Callithrix jacchus: one gene and its partners. The protein of the gene in region 4 interacts with the protein of the main gene of each other region in a biochemical or structural test. Links are inferred from orthologs where the notes say so. Each region holds a gene or a part of one and is shown on either strand. Other genes may lie near its edges.

The links.
Region 1: the proteins of NUP153 (region 4) and KPNB1 form a complex in vitro, tested with the Homo sapiens proteins (4 studies listed by BioGRID and IntAct, with this or other methods). The link is inferred for Callithrix jacchus from reciprocal best matches to the Homo sapiens genes NUP153 and KPNB1.
Region 2: the proteins of NUP153 (region 4) and NXF1 form a complex in vitro, tested with the Homo sapiens proteins (2 studies listed by BioGRID and IntAct). The link is inferred for Callithrix jacchus from reciprocal best matches to the Homo sapiens genes NUP153 and NXF1.
Region 3: the proteins of NUP153 (region 4) and SENP2 form a complex in vitro, tested with the Homo sapiens proteins (2 studies listed by BioGRID). The link is inferred for Callithrix jacchus from reciprocal best matches to the Homo sapiens genes NUP153 and SENP2.

The regions. Positions count from the first base shown.
Region 1 is NC_133506.1:118,627,086-118,630,649, forward strand, and holds part of KPNB1 (importin subunit beta-1), read right to left. Parts: intron 2,652-3,564; coding exon 2,504-2,651; intron 2,215-2,503; coding exon 2,143-2,214; intron 441-2,142; coding exon 296-440; intron 1-295.
Region 2 is NC_133511.1:120,085,576-120,089,879, forward strand, and holds the start of NXF1 (nuclear RNA export factor 1), read right to left. Parts: upstream 2,805-4,304; 5' UTR 2,721-2,804; coding exon of another isoform or gene 2,693-2,720; intron 1,494-2,692; 5' UTR 1,478-1,493; coding exon 1,396-1,477; intron 1,015-1,395; coding exon 828-1,014; intron 609-827; coding exon 455-608; intron 1-454.
Region 3 is NC_133516.1:14,564,594-14,568,157, forward strand, and holds part of SENP2 (sentrin-specific protease 2), read left to right. Parts: intron 1-328; coding exon 329-380; intron 381-1,051; coding exon 1,052-1,115; intron 1,116-2,526; coding exon 2,527-2,748; intron 2,749-3,564. UniProt on the Homo sapiens protein: Protease that catalyzes two essential functions in the SUMO pathway.
Region 4 is NC_133505.1:13,063,888-13,068,038, forward strand, and holds the start of NUP153 (nuclear pore complex protein Nup153), read left to right. Parts: upstream 1-1,347; 5' UTR 1,348-1,627; coding exon 1,628-1,738; exon of another isoform or gene 1,739-1,850; intron 1,851-4,151. Other genes in the region: uncharacterized protein LOC103792250, read right to left, coding at 1,045-1,347. UniProt on the Homo sapiens protein: Component of the nuclear pore complex (NPC), a complex required for the trafficking across the nuclear envelope. Functions as a scaffolding element in the nuclear phase of the NPC essential for normal nucleocytoplasmic transport of proteins and mRNAs.

The DNA of each region.
Region 1 (3,564 bases), on a different chromosome or scaffold from region 4:
GCATCACTTGACTCAGGAGTTTGAGACCAGCATGGGCAACACGGCGAAACCCCGTCTCTACCAAAAATATAAAAAATTAGCCAGGCATGGTGGTGTGCATCTGTAGTCTTAGCTACTGGTGTGTCGGGGGTGGGGGTGGGGGCTCAGGTGGAAGAATCACTTGATCCCAGGATGTGGAAGCTGCAGTGTGCCAAGATCATGATACGGCACTCCAGCCTGGGTGACAATTATTTAAGGCCACTGAAATGCCTGCATTCTAAAGACATTCCCTGACCAGACAGTATTTTTCACTGACCTTCCACCAGTGTGCTAACTGCCATCAGGGCATCCTCTTGTACTCCCCCAGAGCCAGCTGTGCTTTGGAACATCCTTAACAGGGAGGCCATGACCACATCAGAGATCTGCAATGCATCTTGATGTTGCACTTTCCGAAGAACATTCTGTGAAATGAGTAAGAGTTCAAGATCAGTTGATTCCCAATCTCCCAATCAGAACAGTATACCTTCTTTTTAAAAATCAATTAAGTCCTTTGACTTTCTTTTGTGAATGCCAAATGTACTTTTTATACTAAAAAACTCTGATAATACCAATCATTAACAATACTTTTTTTTTTTTTTTTTTTTTTTGAGATGCAGTTTAACTCGTCGCCCAGGCTGGAGTGCAATGGCGCAATCTCGACTCACCGCAACCTCAGCCTCCCGGGTTCAAGCAATTCTCCTGCCTCAGCCTCCCAAGTAGCTGGGATCACAGGCGCACACCACCACACCTGGCTGATTTTTTGTATTTTAATAGAGACAAAGTTTCCCCATGTTGGTCAGGCTGGTCTCGAACTCCCAATCTGAGCTGATCCGCCCACCTCAGCCTCCCAAAGTGCTGGGATTACAGGTATGAGCCACTGCACCCAGCCCTCTCCCTACTTTTTTGTTTTTAAGACAGAGTCTCACTCTGTTGCCCAGGCTGGAGTATAGTGGTGTTATCTTGGCTCACTGCAACCTCCGCCTCCCGGGTTCAAGCAATTCTTGTGCCTCAGTCTCCCAGTAGCTCGGATTACAGGCACACAACACACTGTGTCAAGCTAATTTTTGTATTTTTAGTAGAGACAGGGTTTTACCATGTTGGCCAGGCTGATCTCAAACTCTTGACCTCAGATATCTACCCACCTTGGCCTCCCAAAATGCTAGGATTACAGGGGTGAGCCACTGTGCCCAGCCAGCAATACATTTTAACATTCCCCAGTTTCTGAATTTCTCAATTCAGAACCAATGTGAGCTGATCCTCCATTGTGCAGAAGGTCATGTCTGCATTTTATTTGCCTTAGTGTCTGACAAATCCATGCTGGTAGCCTCCATAGTCTAGTCTTACTAGATAGTTAAATTACTTGAGCTTTAAAAAAGCCCTGTTACCTTAGAGCTCTTTTTAATAAAACAAACAAAAAGCAACCCTTCCTATATCCTACCCATTTACAGATGGTCTAGAAATAATCTTGATAAAAATCAAACCAACTTGACTTCTCTCAATTCAATATACATTCATCAAACATTCCTTCTTCTTGTTTCAATTAATGTCACTGACAATAGGTCAAACAGCAAATGTTTCAAAAGATGATGGTACAAACTCAAGGCTTTATTTTTAGTCAAGTGAACTATAGCTGGGAACCAAATATGACTGAGCTAGGCTCGAATAACTTAATTAAAAACCAAGAGTTCTTTTGGTTTTCAAAATCAAAAAACCAAAACCATTCAAGCTGTCAACACAAACCAGCTATACAGCTGGGAGGAACCATCAAACATCAAGTAGTTTACTTCTCTACACTGAGACATTAGTTGAAACAAACAAGAGTGAGGAAGGGAGGTTTGATGAGTGTACACTGAGTTGGGAGAAGTCAAGTTGATTTGAGTTTATCAAGATTATATCTAGACCATCTATAAATAAAGTAGGATTTGAATCTTTCTAGACAGTGAGGAAAGGCCGGTGGGAAATTCCTCTCCCAATTCATCAATCACAGACCAAAGTCTTCTGAGAACAGCTTCTGATCAGCATCATCGATACCATTTTTGAGTTCTGTGTATACATGAACTTGTCATACTGAGATATTAATTATCTTTCCTGGAGTTACTAAGAAATGATATAGCACCATAATACCTGAAGAGTTGCGCAGAGTAAAGACTGAAGGTCATTGAACTGGATTCTATCGGATGTGCTCTGGATATGTGACTACAAGGAAAAGAAGAAAACATACTCTACGTAACCATTCAATAATCTTCCCTAATGCCAACACAGGAAAGTAAACAACAACAACAAACCCACAATATATATAACACATGTCTGAGTAAACCATGACAAGCAATGCTAACGTTAAGGTGTAATTTTTTTTAAATAAACTTCATATCCTTCTGAGAAAATATATAAACACCAAAAAGACAGAACAGTCTGGAAAATAGACCTAGGTGTCCAAAGTACTGCCCTATTCCCACCCATAGTCAGGGGCCTTCTTAGGTCTCACCTCCATCTGAAGCACCTGCTGCAGTCGCTCCATGATGACCAAAGTCGTTTTCTGGACAGCAGGGTAACAATCCTTGGCACTGTTTTTCACAATTTCCATCAGAGATTCATATGCAGAACTCCTCAGGTTGTTCTGGTGTCCATCGGGTCTGTAAAGAACACAGCGAAAATCTTAAAGGCTCAACTGAGGGGAAAGGACAGAGAATAATACAGAGAATATAGACACTGTCTTGCCAGAAATAAGAACTCAGAAACTGGTATGACTGCAGACATGGTTTGAGTTTGGAAACACAATATCTAATAACCAAATCTTCAAGTCCTTTGAGCCAACAGTTATGTTCATTATGGTCTCCAGACAGCTAAAATTTAGAACGGTCCTTTAGGAAATGAGCTAAAATTACAGAGGGAAAAATGGTTTGAAATGGTAAAGAACCATGTTAACAATTTAACAGGTTGTCTGAATAGCTATGAAGAAAATACCCCAATTTTCTTGGGTACAGGTGACTCACACCTGTAATCCCAGAACTTAGGAGGCCGAGGTGGGCAGATCACCTGAGGTGTCAGGAGTTTGTGACCAGCCTGGCCAACATGGTGAAACCTCATCTCTACTGAAAGTATAAAAATTAGCCAGGCACATTGGTGGGCACCTGTAGTCCCAGCTATGTGGGAGGCTGAGGTATGAGAATCACTCGAACCTGGGAGGTTGCAGTTAGCCAAGATCACACCATTGCACTCCAGCCTCGGTGACAGGAGCGTGACTCTGTCTCAAAAACTAAAGGAAAAAAAAAAACATTTTGTGCTCAGCTCCCTTCCTGAAGGTTTACTTTGTTCATGACTTTAGGTATAGCTGACATAAAGCATGAATCATTAAAGGTTGTCTCCAACTTATAATCCCCTTTAAACAACATTTCAAAAGCTTGTTTATAAGTCAACTGTATTCACCCCAAGTTCTTGATCCCATATAAAAATATGGTAGTTGTCGGGGAAATTAGCTGGCTATGGTGGTGTGTGCCTGTAATCCCAGCTACTCAGGAGGCTGACACGGAAGAATTGCTTGAACCC
Region 2 (4,304 bases), on a different chromosome or scaffold from region 4:
AATCCCAGCACTCTGGGAAGCCGAGGCGGGTGGATCACAAGGTCAGGAGATCGAGATCGTCCTGGTCAATGAGTTGAAATCCCGTCTCTAGTAAAAATACAAAAATTAGCTGGGCATGGTGGTGAGCGCCTGTCGTCTCAGCTACTCGGGAGGCTGAGGCAGGAGAATTGCTTGAACCCAGGAGACGGAGGTTGCAGTGAGCTGAGATCGTGCCATTGCACTCCAGTCTGGGTAACAACAGTGAAACTCCATCCAAAAAAAAAGAAGAATCACTTGAACCAGGCAGGCGGAAGCTACAGTGAGCTGAGATCACACCACTGCACTTCAGCCTGGGTGATAGAGCAGACTCCATCTCAAAAAAAAATAGTAATTTTTGTGGAATAAAACTAAACATCTCCAGGCTGACTGCAGCCTCCCATCGCTACCGCACTATCTACTTTCTCCAAGAACTCACTGTAATTTTGAACCAGTTCTTTGAGGTCCCATCCTGGCTGGTGCCAGCTCCTCCTCTCTCTGAAGGAGCTCTGTCTCTCCGCACGGTAACATGAATGCGATCTCGATCATGCCACGTATCGCCCCGACGGTTAGGCCGGGTGGTATAGGGGTTGCTGTGGGCAAGCAGAGAATAAAATGACCATAAATGCTAGGAAAGTCTTCTCAGAGACCTACCTGCACTGTTAGTGGGACTACAACTAAGATTGTTCAATCATTAAGCCACTCCTGGCATTTCTCACTCTTTCAGGTTGGAAAGGAAATAACATGGACAGTAAAAGGGCCATATAATCTCATGGGCCACTAAATTCAAACCAGACCAACTGGTCACTTACTATCGTACTCGGGGACCATCTTGGGCATCACTCATTGCCACATCTCCATCATCTTCCTCAAGGCGGGAAGACCGAATACTAGAACCACCTCTTCCAGACCTACGGTTTCCTTCACCATATTTCCACCGGAAGGGACCCCGGCCTTTCTTCCTTCTTTGAGGGAAATTAACACGTTCATCATCGTGCTCTGAAGTTAGAAACAGGAACACAAATTAGGAGTAAGTAACTGGTCCTGCTTGGCGTAGCAATCAGTTTCTAGTACTCTGCACTATGGGAAGAAATACATACTAACTACAGAGGCCATGTCCATGCAAACTCCACTGGCAGTCCAGCGGTAAGAACCCTCTCTGTGGGAGGGAAGCATCAGGGAAGTTATTGGAAAATTGTGTAGGGCTTTTGAAAAATGAAGCAGAGGCCGGGCACGGTGGCTTATGCGTATAATCCCAGTACTTTGGGAGGCCGAGGCGGGTGGATCACGAGGTCAAGAGATCGAGACTATCCTGGTCAACAAGGTGAAACCCCGTCTCTACTAAAAACACAAAAATTAGCTGGGCATGGTGGTACGCGCCTGTAGTCCCAGCCACATGGGAGGCTGAGGCAGGAGAATTGCTTGAACCCAGGAGGCGGAGGTTGCGGTGAGCCGAGATCATGCCATTGCACTCCAGTCTGGGTAACAAGAGCGAAACTCCATCTCAAAAAAAAAAAAAAACAAGAAAAAAGAAAAATGAAGCAGAAACTGGAATTAGAGAGAAGCAGAAGGTAGAAATGTGACAACCAAAAGTGTAACTGAACACAAATCAGACCTCTGATAGCCACGTGAAATCTGCCACTCAGTACTTTTTCTCCACAGTACAGATGCCAGTTACAAATATGACCAATTTAAGGATCCTCTAAAAAATTCTTCTTGTTCTCAAATTGCCACTTGGAAGTTTTGTGAGGAGCTCTTCATTTCCTTGGCCAGAAATGGCCTTTAACTCAGAAGACAGACAACTTCTAGACTCAGGATCTACTGGCAGTGCCAGGCTCAGGTGCTTAACCAGGGATCCTGGAATGCTCTCCAGGAATATGACCTTCTGACACATGCTGTGTAGGACTGGCATCTTTAAAAGGTCTCTAACTCCCAAAAGAAGTCTGCCTAATACAGATACTGTAAACAATGAATCTCAACAAATGACCCCAAGAAAAAAAGTACACAGAAGGCGCACCTAACATTCACTGAGAACTTTCTCCAGTGCCGGCCACTATGCTTCAGGCACTTGATAGAAATGATCTCATTCCCCGCACCCCTGCCCGCCTCCTCCACTCTTAAAAAACAGATACTGTTGTTATTCCGCATTAAGGAGGTGGAAAACGAGTTTTAAATTCACGGTTTCAACCTCCGCCATGCACTCCTAACTACTACAAAGGACTAACATCCAGTGTAGTGTTCAGACTAGAACATCCAGTTGAGGTGTCTCAAATATTAAGCCAAACCCAGGCCCGAGGTTTCAAGACCGACTGGACGCAGTAAAAAATAGGGCACCAGGGCAGCCCACGAGCAGGGCACTAACTCACATTAAAGGAAGAGTCAGGCCGCCAAACCGAACTGACAGGCATCAACCACCCACAAAGTTCAAAGGAATCCGGTCACCCCACCCCCAAGCCACCCGCTCCGAGCCGCAGGTCCTCCAACACCAGGATTCCAACAGGAATCCAGGAGTTCAACAACTCGGTGTCCACCTCAAGTGCTCCCGGTTCCTCCGCGCGCCGCTCCCCACGGACGCCGAGCCCCTGCGGCCTCACGTCCCGGGGGCTGAGGCCTAGGCCGGCGCCTCCCACCCGGGGGTCCCAGATAGCCGGCTCTCGACTCAAGGACCAGCACTGACCGCTGTACGACTTCCCCTCGTCCGCCATACCACAGCGAAGAGCAAGGGCGGGCTCAGGCGCGGGCCGCTACGCCACCAAACGTCCGAACCCCCAAGCGCTCAGGACCAAAGTGTCCCTACGACGGGCGCCACCGCATTTATTCGGAATAGCACGTCGCGCGCCGCTGACGTTCTAGGCTGTGGGCGGTGCCACTGCTGTAGAAAGCGCGGCCACTGCGCGTGCGCACACTGAAGCCCGTCGTGTGAGGGGCGGGGCCCGACCCTCCACGCCCCGCCCAAGGCCTGAGCTTGCGGAATTCCGGCTGGCTGCCAGCAGCTCCTGGCACCTTTTCATTTGTCCGCTGACGCTGCCCTGGGCACCTCCAGAGTTAGTGCTGGAACAGAGTGCTGCAACTGCAGCCCAGAGTTCAGAGCGGGGAAGGGGACCGCACGAAGGGCTTCCGAGGTGGAAGTGATGCGCCTCCAGGTGGAAGTGATGGCTTAGACCCCCACCGGAATCCAGCCAGTTTCAGCTCGGCTCCTTGTCTATGCCTCGCTTTCTTTGCCTATAAGATGGATTAATAATCACGAAGTTGAGAATTAGAATGTAAGCTTCATGGGAGCAGGAACCTTGACTAATTAATAGCTTTCTTCCTCGAGGGCTTGATTCGGTACCATGCCTGGCACATAGTAGAAATTCAACATGTATTTGTGAAATAAATGAATTTCTGTTCTTTGCATTCCCCACCCGCCCCGCCGCGAGTTGCTGAGTCAAATGAGACGGCATCTATCAGGGCTTTGCCGAGCATTGACATTATAGACCTTCCATCAATGACGTTCCCTACTAGAAACCCATCGTGTCAATAAGGCCGACAGTGAAGCTCACCAGCAGTGGCAGACAACTTGCTGGAGATGCCAAGGAGAACATTTTAAAGTATCAGGGCCTTGGGATCTCCTAGACCCCCAGAAGCACCAGCCCCTGATTGTTGTCTCTATAGCTTGAACTTCCTTTGGAATATGTGAGGCAGGGGCACTCGAGTAGCCTCAGAATGTGGTTAAGTCTTGGTCAGGAAGAACAAAGCACACCTGGATGGTGGGTATTCTGGGCAGGTGTCTTCTCCAGTCTCTGTGATTGGCTTTGATTTGGTGAGGGGCTTGGAGGGAACCAAAAGCCTCAGCTGGAGTTGGGAACAAATCCTCCACCTTCCACTCCTGGCAGCAGGCAGAGCTTCTACCTTGCTTAGCTTAAGGAAGATATCAAACAGGTCCAAACACTGCTTGAGATGGTCCTGGAAGTTGCCACCAATCAAGGACCCCCTCTGGGATCCTGCTCCCCTGTGTGAAAGGAAGTTTCTATGCTAATGAAGTGTTGCAACACTTGGTTCTGCCCTGCCTGGAGGCAGCTGTGTGTCAGAGCCCAATATAGCCTGTCAGCAGTAATACCCTGCAGAGCCATTAGCCCAACCCTTTCAGTTCTGGTACTGGGCAGTGGGCTCATTCCACTCACTGCCTAGGCCCTTCGACGCTCCCACCCAGAAATGATGACATAGCTAGTAAGGATGACAGTCTTGCTGTAATTGGGAGAAAACGGGCTGCAGCACATTTGGCAGATTGAGAGTCACCAGCAGCCAAT
Region 3 (3,564 bases), on a different chromosome or scaffold from region 4:
GCCTGTAATCCAAGCTACTCGGGAGGCTGAGGCAGAATTGCTTGAACCCAGAAGGCAGAGGTTGTGGTGAGCCGAGATTGTGCCATTGCACTCCAGCCTGGGTAACAACAGCGAAACTCCATCTCCAAAAAAAAAAAAAAGAGCAAAGAGATATAGGCATTTTTTTAGGCAACTTAGTTTATAGGGAGTCTAGTATCTTTGGAATTCACTGTAGCATTTCATTGTTGAAGAATTGCCTTGATATTGTGGAAACTCAGTAAGCTGAAATTCTAACTATATTATTCACTAATGAAGGAAATATTTAATCTTTTCTTTACCATCCTCACAGATAGACTTGTTGAAACAAGGGGACCTCTGTGTTCATTGAGAAGTGAAAAGAGGTACATTCAGTTCATTCTACACTTTAATATATATTTTCTTTATCAGCTGTATTTGTGAGTAAGTGGTTCTTTGGAATTGTGAACTCTTTTCATTTCTGGTAGTTGGTCAGCATATATGAGTAGATAGGTAGCTAGCTCTTGGGTCAGATGTCCACGCTACCTTGGTGGGTTGGGGGGTGCCCTTTATCTCCCAGGCATCAGGGTTGGGAGAATCGCATGATTCTTAGATAGGAGTGTGGGTCTAGTGGAGATATCTAGAGGTCTGTGTCTTTAGGATAAGAACAATAAAGGCAGTTCAGCATACCTTAGGATTTTTGGATGATGGTTTATGGCAGAGTTTGTAAATTATGGCCTATAGGCCAAATCTGGTCTGCTTGCCTATTTTTGTATAGTACGTTTCTGTTGAAGTGTGCACATTCATTTACATACTGTCTATGGCTGCTTTTAAATTACAGTGGTAGAGTTGCCACGATATGCCCAAGACCATAAAACCTGCAAAGCCTAAAATACTGTCTGTGCTTTTTCAGAAAAGTTTGTTGGCTCTTGATTTAGAATATTATATAAAAAGGCAATTTTTATTTGCAGATTATGAAATCTTATTTCTAAAACTAGGATGTGCTAGGTTTGAGTCATCTAGCAGAAATCTATCATCTCTCAATTATTTTCCTTAGGTGTACAAAGGGGAAAATTTCTGATACAGAAAAGATGGTTGGACTCAGATTTGAAAATGAAAGTGTAAGTAAAAATCCTAGTTAAATCTAATATCCATAGGCCAGGTGCATGGCTCACTCCTGTAATCCCAACACTTTGGGAGTCCAAAGCGGGACATTATCTGAGGTCGGGAGTTTGAGACCAGCCTGACCAACATGTAGAAACCCTGTCTCTACTAAAAATAAAAAAATTATCCAGGCATGCCTGTGGCACATGCCTGTAATTCCAGCTACTCGGGAGGCTGAGGCAGGAGAATCGCTTGAACCCAGGAGGTGGAGGTTGCAGTGAGCCGAGAATCTGCCATTGCACTCCAGCCTGGGCAACAAGAGTGAAACTCCGTCTCAAGAAAAAAAAAAATTTTGATACCCATTTACTTACATAACTTATGTTTTGGTACCAATGAAAAAGAAGAAAAATTATATATATATTACTTAGATTGTTACTTCTGTTGTTTTCTTTAAGAAAGCAGCAAGCCAGCCAGGCACAGTGGCTCATGCCTGTAATCCCAGAACTTTGGGAGGCCAAGGCAGGAGGATCTTGAGCCCAGGAGTTTGAGACCAGCCTGGGCAACATAGTGAGACTGTCTCCACAAAAAATTTAAAAATTAGCCAGGCATGGTGACACATCTGTAGTCTCAGCTACCTGGGAAGCTAAGACAGGAGGATTGCTTGAGCCCAGGAGGTCAAGGCTGCAGTGAGCTGTGATCACACCACTGCACTCCAGCTTGAGTGACAGAACGAGACTCTGTCTCTTTAAAAAAAAAAAGGCAAGTATTGAAAATATACAACCTTTTTCTTCTTTCTGAGTTGTTGGAGTTTTGCCTCTGTACAGTAGCCACCTTTGTTTATGAAAGATGAACCTATCTCCATACCAACACTTTACCTACATTTTATGGCTTTTTATGGAGAATTTCTTAAAAATCATACATCTCTGATAATGCTTTAGGGTGCTGGCAGAATTCTATTTGTTTATATAACCACAATGGTGGTTATATAGGTGTTCATTTTACAAAAATGAATTAAGTGGTACATTAATGTTTTGTGCATTTTCTATAATATAAAATGACTTTTTACAAGGATAAGCTAGAACCAAGTTTAGTTAGCATAAAGATAGGTATTTGTTCTGAGTGGTGGGATTGTGGGTCATATTTTTTGCTATTTAAAACTTTCATAATAATCTTTTAAACATACTATTTTTAATTGTGATAGGAGAACTGAAAATACTTTTTTTGCTCCTTCCAGGGAATGTGGCGAGTGTTCTGTTTCATGGTTTGTAACTGAGGTATCCTGTGAATCTTAGGTCTGGAGTTTTTTTGTTTCCCCTTGCAGGGACAGGCAGATATGATAAATCTACTCATTTGGGGGATTTGCTAATTCTCTTTTCTTTCATATTACTGACAGTTTTATATTTCATGTGTTATCTATGTTTATATTAGCAAGTATCAAACATGTCAGTAGAATGTAGATGCTTTTTTGATCAGAGGAGGGGATACCAGCTGGAGCCTGACCTATCAGAAGAAGTGTCAGCCCGACTCCGCCTGGGCAGTGGAAGCAATGGCTTACTCAGGAGGAAAGTGTCAATAATTGAGACAAAGGAAAAGAATTGCTCAGGCAAAGAGAGGGACAGAAGAACAGATGATCTCCTTGAACTTACAGAGGTATTGTTCTTTGTATTGATCCTAAAAAGAGGCATGTCTTTAAATAACCTCAGTACTTCTAAACTTGAATGTTTTGTTTTGAGGACTTTCTCCAGGCTAAGGATGAATATATGAAAACAAATCAGGCCCATGATCTATTTATGCACTTTGGCTACACTGATCATTAGTGAGGCATGATCGTTAGTGACCTAAGGGATCAAACTGATATTCAGCAAATGTGAGTCGACACAGTCATCACATATCTTGGAATTCAACAAATTCTTTGTAGATTCTAACCTTCAAATATGTTGAGTGAGTTATATAGCATAGGTTTGGAATTAGGAATAAGTCCACTGCATTTTTTAAAAAGTGATTATAGTTTACTAAGATGTCCCTTTTGTTGATTATTGCATCTGAAAATTGTAAAAATTTACAGAACATAAAGAATGAAGGTAGTTAAAATTCTTATTTTAAAGATGCACCCACATCTTGGCTTCCTCTACAGTAGGAATCTAGTAGGTGAATCTCTCTTGAATACTTACTATTATATTGGGCATGCAGGTGGAGAGAGAGATCCATAAAACAGTGAAACTGTGCAGTGGGAGGAAGCAGTGGTAAAAATATTTAGAGGAAAATAATTTTTTTTTTTTTTTTTTTTTTTTGAGACAGAGTTTCGCTGTTGTTGCCCATGCTGGAGTGCAATGGCACGATCCTGGCTCACTGCAACCTCTGCCTCCTGGGTTCAAGCAAGTCTCCTGCCTCAGCCTCTGAGTATCTGGGACTACAAGCGCCCACCACCATGCCCAGCTAATTTTTTATTTTTAGTAGAGATGGGGT
Region 4 (4,151 bases):
ATGCACTCCAACCCGGGCTACAGAGCAAGACTCTGTCTCTCTCTCTCTCTCAAAAAAAAAGATTTATAGTACGGCTAAAATTTTTCACAACAGATTTTTTCCTGCCTAATCATTTGGCTATTTGTCTTTAACTCTTACAGAAAAGTTGGGTCATAGTCTTGGTTTTGATTACCCATCTCAGTGTCATTGATTGTGCCACCTAAATTTTTCTGGACCTCTTGTTGGTTGAATGAGAGGGTTGGATTATGTGATCACCAGGACCTTTCTAATCGTCATCTCCTAGAATATACATTTTGTGGATTCAGTCTTTAAGTCTAGCCCACTTACTCGGTTTCCTAAATATAATGCCTTCTATTTGGAGCAAATATGGTATACTTTTATTACTAAGAATATATCACTTACTCCTAATGTGAGCTGACTGCATAGGTTATAATTGTAATCATTCATTGCATTTCTCGTCTATTTGCAAATATACGTGCTCTCCATAGATAATCACGTCTGCTCCTCACAACAGCTTTATAAGGTGGATTTTAAAGCTCCCATTTTACGGAGGAGGAAGCTAAGGCTCACACAGTTTTGATTCATCCAAGGTCAAATAAATAGAGTGGCGGAACCAGAATTCCAGCCCCGTGTGTCTGGCAACAAAGCCTTTATGTTTAAAAAAACATTAATGAAGCCGTATATATTTTCTGATTCTAAGGATCATGGACATCGTTTTTCAACCATAGATTTTTTTCCCCCTTTCTTAAATCATTAGCTCTTGTCTTTGATTTTACTATTTGCTTACTTCCTGCCCACTTAACCAACCGACAGGGAAGAGAGTAGGAAGAGGTTACTGTTTTTATGTTAAGTGCCTTTTCAGAGTCTAATTTACAGCCAAGAACAGCAAAAGAACCCCTTGGCTTTGTGCCTCTGCGGCGCTCTGGAGACCTTTTCCCTCGTCCCTCTTCCTTTCCGAGAAGCCGCGTTCCGTCGTTGAACTACGTTTCCCAGCGTGCCGCGCGGCCGAGAGCGTAGGCTCGACCAGTCCTTCCTCTTTGCCTATCAGCTCGTCGCAGCGTGATGATGCAAATGCGTCGGGCGCTGATGAGTGACGACATTCTGGTTCGCGACCGCAGCAGCCGCTTTAGCGGCGGTAATAGGCGCAACGGCGGCGGCGGCTGCAGAGACGACGACGACGGCGGGGCGGGCGCTGAGCGCACAGGGGAGGGGTAGGCGGGCGGCGCCAGCGGCTTCAACTGCGGCAGCTACGGCTAGGGCGACGGAAGAACCCCACCAGCCGGCGGTCGAGTTAGGCCTCAGCAGCGCCGGGAGCTGTTCGCGCTGTCCTCTGCGGGAGATCTCCATAGAGACCGTGACATACAGAGAGGCGGGGGTCCGCAGAGGCGGCCGGACCGGAGCCAGCTCCTTGGCCTCTGCGGCCGCCACCCCCTTCCCGGCTGCCAGCACTCACCCTCTCTCCGCTCCTGCTCTCAACCTCGCGGTTCCTGGGGTGCCTGTGCCCACTGTGTGGACAGCGCGGGCGGACTTTGGGCCGGGGCCGGGCGGGGGGGCGCTCTAAGGCCTCCGCCTCTGCCTCTCCCGCCCCCTTACCCGCCCCGGAGCGGGAAGCGGCGGAGGCTCCGCCATGGCCTCAGGAGCCGGAGGAGTCGGAGGGGGCGGTGGCGGCAAGATCCGGATGCGGCGTTGCCATCAGGGGCCAATTAAGCCTTACCAGCAGGGGCGACAACAGCACCAGGTATGGGACCTGACGACGTGGTGGTCTGGCGGGTCGGGAACTCGGCTGGAGGGGACAGGCGGTTCGAGGCCCCGGCGCCCCACGTGGAGCAGACAGGAGGGCCTGAGGAAAGGCCCGAGTGAGGCTCCGGGGGAGCTCAAGCCATTGGGGGTGGTGACGGGAAGTGGGCTGAAACAGGCCCAGCTTTGCGGCGCACACGTGTGGTTCGGGCCGCCTTTTCCCCAACCCTCTGGGCCAGGGGCTTTCCCAGGCAGGCTCTGGGCGGGAAAAGAAATTGTAGGCCTAGGGTGCCGGTGCGCGCGTTTCTTTCTTTTTTGGCGGGGATTGGGAGTTTGAGGGTATTACGTCCTTTCGAGAGAGAAAGGAAAAGATGTGATTGACGGCCCTTATGCTTACTGTTTTCTAGTCTCTCCTTCAGTGTGGGGAGGAGGGTAACCCCGAAGAATCTTAACTCTGGGGCAGACAGGGAGTTGTTGGGGGCGCTGTTATATGGAAAGTGGAATAACTTAATCTCAGCCTATGAATTAATTCTCGGTTTCCCCTGCCCGTGTCCCTCGTTTTGAGAACATTGGCTTATATTTTCGTAACCGGGTTATAGTTAACCGTGGCACTGGGGCATTTTGAAAGTCCCTCTCCACCCTTACGTCTTTTCTCTGCTGCGCGACTCCCCCCCCCCCTTATTTTGGAGGCTGGAATTGGCCATTCTCCACAGTTGACCGGGACTCCCGCTCTGATCTCATACACAAAATATGTTAATATTATGGGGCGTATTTTAGAAGTTTAGTTACTTTCGACACTCCAGGAATGTTGATGATCTTATAGTTTAGCCACTGTATGGACTCTTGGATGTTTAAAATATAAAAAAAGATGATCCTAATTGTAAATGGGATCGTTGATTCCGAGAAAATTCCATTTTTAAAATACTGCTTATTAGAAGGATTAAGGAAATGTTACAACACCTACTTTAATAAAGCCACTTAAAAAACTTACCAATGATACAAGGTGGGAAGTGTGTCTTAACAAAAATGTAGCAAAAGGATCTGATAACTTGTTGCCTGCTGTTAAAGGTAGACTTCCTAGATTACTTTATTCTGGATGCTAATGAAGATTGCACACTTTCACATGTTCGATGTTGTTAAATTGTGTCATTATCAACAGATTTTTAAAAGTAAAGATTTGAGGGATTTTTAAAATTTCCTTTTCTATTTTGAGGGAAATGTCTGAGTAGTAAAAATTGTGGTTCCGGTATTTTAAGTCGTTCTCTACTGATGGTTAGAAGGTTTGGCATTGTTATTACTCCCACCAGTTTTTCCCCAGATACGTATGTAAAGTGCTTGGTTTTCAAATTTCTGAAGCACGGGGGTATTTGCAAGCAGATTTAAGATTATAATTCAGTTCACAAGCCTGGCCATTTAACCTAATCCTTCTGTAGAATGAAAGTTAGACGTGCATGCTTTCTTTTCTCTTATGAAGGTCTTTGAGTGCTTAGATTTTCTTGTATGACATACAGAAAAATGGCATGTTTTAAATATAGGCCATTGGGTCTGGGTAGACGTTAGCAAGGAATTAATATTTGCCAGATGCTGAAGTTAATCATGGCTTATTTTTAAATGCACTTAGATAAAATACAAGTGTAATTTTGGGGAGACGATGCCTTGGCAGCATAACACCTATGATCCACGTTGTCTTAGAGTTGATATGACTTCAGACTGTTTAGTTTTGTTTTAAATCCTGATAATTTATCATTGCCTCCTGTCTGAAATACTTTTGCCTCTTGCTTCTGGCTATTAAAAAAGAAAACATATTTTAGCTTTTGAATTGGGAATTAAAGGTATTTAGGGGTTTCTTGGTCAACACTGTAGGTGCTATTTAATATTGGCAGAAACTACCACTACCCAAGGAAATTATTCAGGTGTATTCAAAAGAATACTCTCCTTTTTATTATTATTATCATTTAAAAAATAAGGACTTCCTTAGTCCTTACTGGGACTTCGGTGGACCTAGGGTCGTTAGTCCTTACTGGGACTTTGGTGGACCTGCTTGCTGTCAGCTATCCTAGACTGTCAACTGGATGTTTTGCAGCAGCTGCTGAGTCATCATGAAGCTCCTTGCATGTTTGATACTAATGTTATTTGATTAAGCGTCCAAGGGTTTCTGGGCAAAAATGAAGCTTTTGGTAGTATAACAGAAAGTTGAAGTAAGAATGAGAGGTCTGGCGCTGTTAGTTAATGGATGTTTGCCAATGCTTGTCAGGCCAACTTGCTAGTGCAGTCTTCACCCAGTACCTGTGACTTCTGCATATGTTCATTTGACTTGCAATTTCCTGTTTTGACTTCTGGGTTTAGCTCTCCTGGGAAAAGCTGTAAATTTACCACTTTCCCTCTTTAACTTCTGATTTTTTCTTTTCTTTTTG